Schizosaccharomyces pombe: one gene and its partner. The gene in region 2 interacts genetically with the main gene of each other region. Each region holds a gene or a part of one and is shown on either strand. Other genes may lie near its edges.

Evidence for each region. A genetic interaction does not mean that the proteins touch.
Region 1: mutations in vps1 (region 2) and top1 together harm fitness less than expected from each alone (positive genetic interaction), as found in Schizosaccharomyces pombe (one large-scale study listed by BioGRID).

Annotation. Positions count from the first base shown.
Region 1 is NC_003423.3:2,942,453-2,946,210, forward strand, and holds the start of top1 (DNA topoisomerase I), read right to left. Parts: upstream 2,145-3,758; 5' UTR 2,129-2,144; coding exon 2,116-2,128; exon of another isoform or gene 2,063-2,115; coding exon 1,962-2,062; exon of another isoform or gene 1,916-1,961; coding exon 1-1,915. Other genes in the region: HOPS/CORVET complex subunit, vacuolar sorting protein Vps33, read right to left, coding at 2,714-3,483, 3,535-3,758. UniProt on the Schizosaccharomyces pombe protein: Releases the supercoiling and torsional tension of DNA introduced during the DNA replication and transcription by transiently cleaving and rejoining one strand of the DNA duplex.
Region 2 is NC_003424.3:1,997,694-2,001,451, forward strand, and holds the start of vps1 (dynamin family protein Vps1), read right to left. Parts: upstream 1,723-3,758; 5' UTR 1,650-1,722; coding exon 1,557-1,649; exon of another isoform or gene 1,506-1,556; coding exon 1-1,505. Other genes in the region: poly(A) polymerase Cid16, read left to right, coding at 3,292-3,758.

The DNA.
Region 1 (3,758 bases), on a different chromosome or scaffold from region 2:
CTTTTTCTAGTTCGTAAAGTGTCTCGTGATGTTTTACGATCCATGAATCGGTAATGCCTTCTTCTTTAGCCAGCAATTCGGGCTTGCTTTTAGCAAGCTTGGGCTCTAAATTCAGCATCATTTTTCGCAGTCTCATCCGCTGGTATTGTAATGCCTTAATCCTTTCGGCAAACCGTTCCATTTGAACATCGTGATTTTTGGTTACGGAACGTTGATGATTACATAAAATTGCAACAGTCCTATTTGCCCTATTATAAAATAGTATTTTGTCTGCAAGGGTGAGGTTCTTAGGCATTTTCTTAAGTTCCTCGGCCATGGTGTATGAAGCATTGTAGGTACGAAATACTTTAGCTGAAAGTCCATCCATAAGGCTAGTCAGATATTTGTTAAGACTGTTTGTACTGAGACGGTCGAAAATTAAATCACCCTCTTTTTTGGGAGGACGTTTAAAGATCTTTAGATTTTTAAAAACTTGGGGATCAACTTCAACCTCGTTGTAGTAACGAATAGAATCTTTACCAAGAAAATCGAAAACGACTGTTCGTGGTGGCTTCAGTGTAACATGTTCATATCGCAGTGAACAACAACCAACAGTATCCGCCTCGTCTTCACCCTTTTCATTTCCTGCTCTTAAAGCAAAAACATCAATTAAATACATGGCAGTTCCTCTTTGACGCTCAACCGTTAACTCACTTTTCAAATCTTTCCGGTAGCCTTTACGGATATCATCAATATAATCCTTAAGCTTTCTTGACTTTTCGTATTTTTTTAAGTCACTCTGTCCTTTTAGAGAACTTCCTGCAGCTAAAAAGACATATTTGACATTATTATTTATATTTTCATGCCAGGTTGCCAACCAGGTCACTGTATTATCATGCTTTACCTCCGCCCATTGATGCCCAGGGAGTGGTTCTGGAACGGGTACACCTTCACCAATATTAATGGTAATTTGTTCAGGATATACTCGACGCTTTAAAGAACCAGTTTTAGGATGACTACCTCGACCACGAAATAACCCTGGAGGTTCAATACGAAAGTTACCAACCTTCTCCTTTCTCCCATCAAGTATGCACCATTTATATTTTTCCTCTTCCTCATCTTTTTTCTGCTTTATTGCCTTCTTCTGTTCCTTCGGCATACTCTTCTTCTCTTCCCTCTTTTGCTCAAAATGGTGAAACATTTGGGTAAAATCACATTTAGAAAACTCTTTAATGTTGTGATTAAAGTTACATTCATCACAGACCTTTAAGAAGTCACGGAAAAAATTATCTTGGAATACAGGATTTTTGGCATGATCGGTTTCAAGCATTGCAGCATAAAAACCAGCAACTTCTTCTGCTTCGGGAGGAAGATTTACGGGGTTTCCATCGTAAATTAGCTTGACGTTCTTTGGTAAAGGTTCATAGGGTGGAGCAAAAATTACACCATTATGCTCCAATGTAGTCCATTTTTGAGTATCATCGATATTTTCTGAAGTCCACCACTTGTAATCCTCATCTTCATCTTCCTCATCGTTTGGTGAGCGATTTTGCGTGGTCGAAGCTCCCGAAGGCAGTTCTGATTTGTAAGGAGTTAAAGATACAGTCGAAACAGCTCTCAATGGAACTGAATCATCTGTGTCACTTTCCTCTTTTTTAACAGCTGACTTCGCGCCATTTTTACTTCCATTCGCTTTAGAAACACGTTTATGCTTCGGTGAGGGCTTTGCAATTTCATTGAAATCCTCTTCCTCTTTTACAACCGCCGTTTTTTTTCCGTTTTTTAAACCACCATTTCCCATTACTTTAGCTCTTTTTTTAGAGCTTGAATTGGACATATTTTTCTTTGAAGAAGCACGTCTCTTTCTAATCGGTATATCATCCTCATCACTCTCGGATTTGGATTTCTTATTCAACGATTCACTAAGAGGATGATTCTAAACAATTAGTCAACAATCTTTAATTATTATGTTGTGAACATACTTCAGAACTATCACTCTCTTCGTCCGACTCCTTCATACTAATCCGTTTAGATGAACCGCGTCTTTGCCTCCTTCTAATGGATAAAGACACGGAATCTGAATCTTTTCAGTTGTTAAAAATTTTGCAAATGTTGTTAAATTACGTGAAACCTTACCAGACGAAGACATTGTGAATTGTTTGCATACATCTATAATACAGTAAAAGAAGGATTAATATTGAGTACGTACACTCGTTGTCATGACAACCAAATATTGACAATTAATGTTTGTAAAAATTAGTAGCTAAATGAGAAACTGGAATTTTCAAATAAAATAAAATTTAATGTTACGAAGCTTGCAGCAAAAAGCTATAAATGTGCATATTTCAAAATAAACCCATTAACAGTACGAGAAAAGTAATCTCTAATAATTTTGAAAGCTTTAACTTTACATTTATTGTAAACAATACCAAAAGCCACTGAATATCCAAAACAAAAAAAAGGTGATTTGATTGATACAATAAGCCATTAGCTGCCAAATATTGGAGGTTTATTATTTAATATGTAAGCTAATATTTTGGCAGTAAATAGCAAATAGCTTAACAGCATATAGGGAAAGCTTTAATGCCACTTCAAATTCATAAACTACTAAGGACTTAATAAAGTGGGTTAATAAAAAAAACAATAATTAAAATTATGGGATTCTCTTAGTGAAAAAAAATGAGATTAAATATCGTCTTTAGCTGTTGAACAAATTAATGAAACTGGGTGATCATCACTCATTCAAAGATTCAATATTTGGAATAAAAGCTCTTATTAGAGAGCTTCCAGTTACCATTCCCGTAGTCATAAATGTGAATTCATATAAATCTTCTTTTTCTTGCAATAAACGAAATGCAGCCAGCTCTGTGTACGTGCAACCACCGATGAAAAAAACTAAAACACGACGTTTACCTGGTACGTTTGTCTTCAAATTTTTAGGCATGACCTTTTCCTGGTCTAATGTCCACTTGTCAACGTAAGTTCCAGGCATATTTTGCAACTTAAGAATTTTTTCTTCATTGTCTCTGCCTTTTAAAATGTCATATGCTATGTGGACTGACAAAGGACCGTACCCGCTGTACGTATAGGCTATATCTTCAGGATTCTGCTCATCAACTTCGTCCTTAACCAAAGGATAAGTGTTTAACCATGTAGAATAAGACAATGATTTTTGAAGTGAAATATTAGTGGATTGCCGGAGGCGCAATAGTCCTGCATCTATCAAGGCTTGGAATGTTAAAAGGTGATAATAACCATATGTTTGAGTGATTTCCCTACGGTAATGATCTATATCTTTTCTTCTCAAACCATTGGTAGTTATACTTGCAAGGCAAAGTACTCGAAAAACCTCTTCAACAGGTGCTTCGGCATAGATAATTTCATCTAATAAATTGAATTGAGTAAAAGAATCGGCATGAGAAACTAGCAAATGCTGAAGTTGTAGTAGCTTTTGAAAGTAATTATTTTTTGTGTGTTGCACCAAAGTTTCAGCGAGACCAGTGTCTATCTAATTAATAAAATTTTTTATGGAAATCAAAAGAAAAAAATACTTACGAATATTTAATGATGTATGCTCCGATTGTAAGGAACCCAGTTTGGAAACGAAGTCTCTAATCTGATTTACAGTTTTGGCTTGACGTCGACCTTCAAAATCGCTGGATAGTTTTCGAGCAATTTTGCTTAAATAAGGGCCTATGCAATTAAAATTTATGTCTCTAATTTCCTTGGTAATTTGGCTGGAAGAAGAACTTAAAGAAAACTTTTTCATCGGTCCAGTA
Region 2 (3,758 bases):
GTTTTAGGGTCAACGGGTATCGGCTTACTATTCTGACTTTGAACAATCGCCATTGCTTGATGTCCAGATAAAAAGTCTGGATGAACAGTGTTTATATAAGAACCTTCCATGGCAACCATATCCATTACAAGGGTATTAGTGGGTTGCATACATTTTCTAAAGAAACCAATAACAACCTTGTAAAATTCATCTTTCAAAAGAGGATAACGTTTAAATATGGGACGTTGAAGCAATTGATTTAAAATACGGACAAGTTCGTCGTAAATGAGGGAAACACACTTCAAGGAAGGATCCTCCAAACGCTTAATTTGTTGCTTGACAATAACTTCAAATGCAGCAGTACCCATAAATAAACTAGGAGAAGGGCCAGATGAATTGTACAAAATGGTGCGAATATCCGAATCCTTAACTTCATCAAATGGATCAATTGCTTGAATACCATTCGAAAAAATTTCATGAAATACGAACGCAATACGAGCTCCTCCTGAAAGCTCCGTAGCAGAAAGCTCTTCACTACGGCCGTCCACAACTGTGCGATATTCGTTGCAAAAGTCAGTAATTAAATTTAGTACAATACTGGAGTTGTCGCCAACAGGAGTGTCCCCCAAAGAATGTAGTTCGGCCTGATATTTGGCTAAAGCAGCGTTAATACGAACTTTAATTTCGGGAAGGGTGTTCCGAATATGGTGCATCAATATCATATTTAGTTTACGAGCTAGAAATGGAGTACCGCAGTATTGCGCTTTAGAACCATAGGAAGGATGCGTTTCAAAAAAGTTCCTTTCTGCCTCAAGAGCTATACGAATAGACTTCTTCCCTTCGATGTCCTTTTGACCGCGATTTATGACTGGAACATACCCAAGTCTCAATGGAATAACACGTCCAGCTAGAATATCTACCACATCCGTACCTTTATCCATTAAATCAACCTTGGTCAATACACCGATAGTGCGAAGACCTTCGGGGTCAACTTCTCTAGCAAGTTTGAGACCATCTGAGTTTGCCAAATCAGTATTGGCAGCGTTTACAGCCAATATAATGGCATTGTTTTTAGATATATACTTCAAAACCATTTCACGAATTTGCTTTTCAATATCTCGAGGTTGGTCACCAACCGGTACCTTTGTAAGACCAGGTAAATCTACTAGTGTCAGAGTAAGCACATGAGGAGAGTAAATACGAAGATAGATAGGAACCGAAGAAATGCCAACATTCTTTCCTGTTTTTTCTTCTGTTTCTCTAACGATTTCTTCACGAATCTTTTCAAACTCAAAGAACTTTTGTCCGGGAAGATGGAGGAATTCTCCCCATTCAGATGAATTATTCTGGTCCTTTCCATCTGAATCAGTAGTTGTTTCTTCATTTTTTCCACTAGCGCTAGGTCTATTAATTAACTGCAGAACCAAAGGACGCCTTGTTACAATGCCGGTTCCTCTAGGAAGGAAATCTCTCCCAACAATATTTTCTAAAACCGATGATTTACCGCTTGACTGTGACCGTACGACCTAACAATTTATTAGTGAATTTTTCAATCTAAGTTAAAATTCACAACATACAGTAATCTGTGGTAAGTCAATCAAGTTTTGAACGCCAACTGTGGAGAAAGCCTCCTGAAGTTGATTGACAACTTTAATCAATGAGGGATCCATTATCAACTATGGATCCACTAAATAGACAATTTTACGAATGGGCGGTTACAAACCTGATGGTATGTGCTGTGGTAGTGTAGTGTTTACTCGGATATGTCGAATAAAATTAGTACCTCGCTAATCGGATTTCAGTAAGGCTGCTTGAAGGTGGCTTAACAATATCGTGTTGCTAATTGATTTACCAAAAAAGAAACAGTGATGCCCTTGAAACGTTGTTGTCAGACTTTAGACAATAAATCTAATGTTTAACCCTCGATAAGTAATATTAAAGCGATGCATCATTCCATATTTAACGAACGATAATATACTAATATTGCGTTTTACTACGTTGCGTATCACTATATGCCCTGTGTTGGAATAACAGGAAAGATCCTTTTAATGATAATTGCGAAATGCTATTTATCTTAATACAAAGTTACCCATTGATACTTGAGTACTGAAAAAATTAACGGAAACTGCTTTAACCTTGTTTTTCAGTACAATTATAAGCTATTCTGCTGATAAGTAAAAATAGTACCTATTTACGAGAATCTTTATAATATAGTACGCGTTTTGCTGCGTACCGTAATATTGTATATTTCAAATAAAACTACCACCACAGTTTTAAAAATTGGTTACATTACGCGTAGCTGACAGTGCTCAATACGCTAGTTTATTCAAAAACGAGTTTTAGTTCAGTAGGAAAAGGGAATGGACTTTATAGAAACAGCAATTTTTGCTAATTATTCTCTGTTTTGCTGCTGATTAGAAGTCGACAAGTGTGTTCAATTTGCACATGCCATTGGACAAATTTTAGCAATCACCTTAGCGTCAAACAATTTATGCTTTTTGTTGGAAAAAAACCAATAACAATTGGGACCTTTTTAGCAATAAATGGAAGCGAATTTCATAGTGGATAATATCTCTAATTTTTATCAAAGCATATTAATATACCATATGCAAACTTACAAATAGAGAAACATATGAAGTCTTGGTTCTTGACTCCAAAACTAAATAATACTAGCATTCCAAAAGTTAGTTATCAAAATAAATGGTTGTATAACTCGTGGAGTAGTTTGTCAAAATCTTACACATTTTGCTTCGTTTCTTGACACCTCTATCGTATACAAATGCCAAATCAATATCTTTGATATCTTGTAAATAATTTTTTGTCAATAAAATTACAATTTTTACAAATTTGTTACTAAACAGGATGCAAATTTGGGTTAACTATAAAATCCAACTTCTCTGTATTCGGCATACTGTTAGGTTTATACATGAACGGCATACATGTAAAACCCAAATTTTTAAGCAAATGCTACGACGCATAGGTTGCTTCATGCTCTAGCGAGCGTTTAATAAGAGACTGGAAGATTGGTACTCCTCCTAGGATCACTTACTCCATAACCATACCAATGCACTACTTACTCAATGTCTTCAACATAAATTTAGTATACATGTCTTTTTTAAGTCAATAAAACAAAACTGTCTTAATGTGCTCGTTGAAGAAAATTCGACAAATTATTTATTCTTTCAAAGGTTTCGTTAATTAATGTTTCAATCGTTTAAAAGCGGCATACCCTTTATTTATTCTGTGATCCTTAATTAAAAGCAAAGCCTAAAAAGAATTTTTACTTTTTTATTTAAAAATATCACTCGTGAAATGCTATTTGCCAAATTATTGTTAAAACCTGTACAAATTTTGTTTGCTTACGCAAAGGCCAAGAGCAAAGAAATTTCAATTAAAGAGGCTAATCTACTAATATTCCAAGATGAAACTGACAATTTGAGGAAAATTTCTACCCCTAATAAGTTGGCTGTTTCTCTAGCTGGGGGATTGAAAGCACTTCTGAGCTCCAACCAATTGTGCCATGCTTTTCATTACCATAACAAGAAGATCAGACTAGTTGATACATCATTAAATAATTTGCCGGTACCAATCTTACTTCCAAAATTGATTAATTATTTATTAGCTAGAAAATCTCAAAAAAGCGCTGCAGAGTGGGAAGAAATAGAACGTGCACTGTTATCATGCTGCAAAAGGTCCAAAGACCCGTCGATTCTTTTTCCAACTGATGTCCCTTGTTCACTGGATGACGATGTTAGCTTCCTCACATTCAAAGGACATAA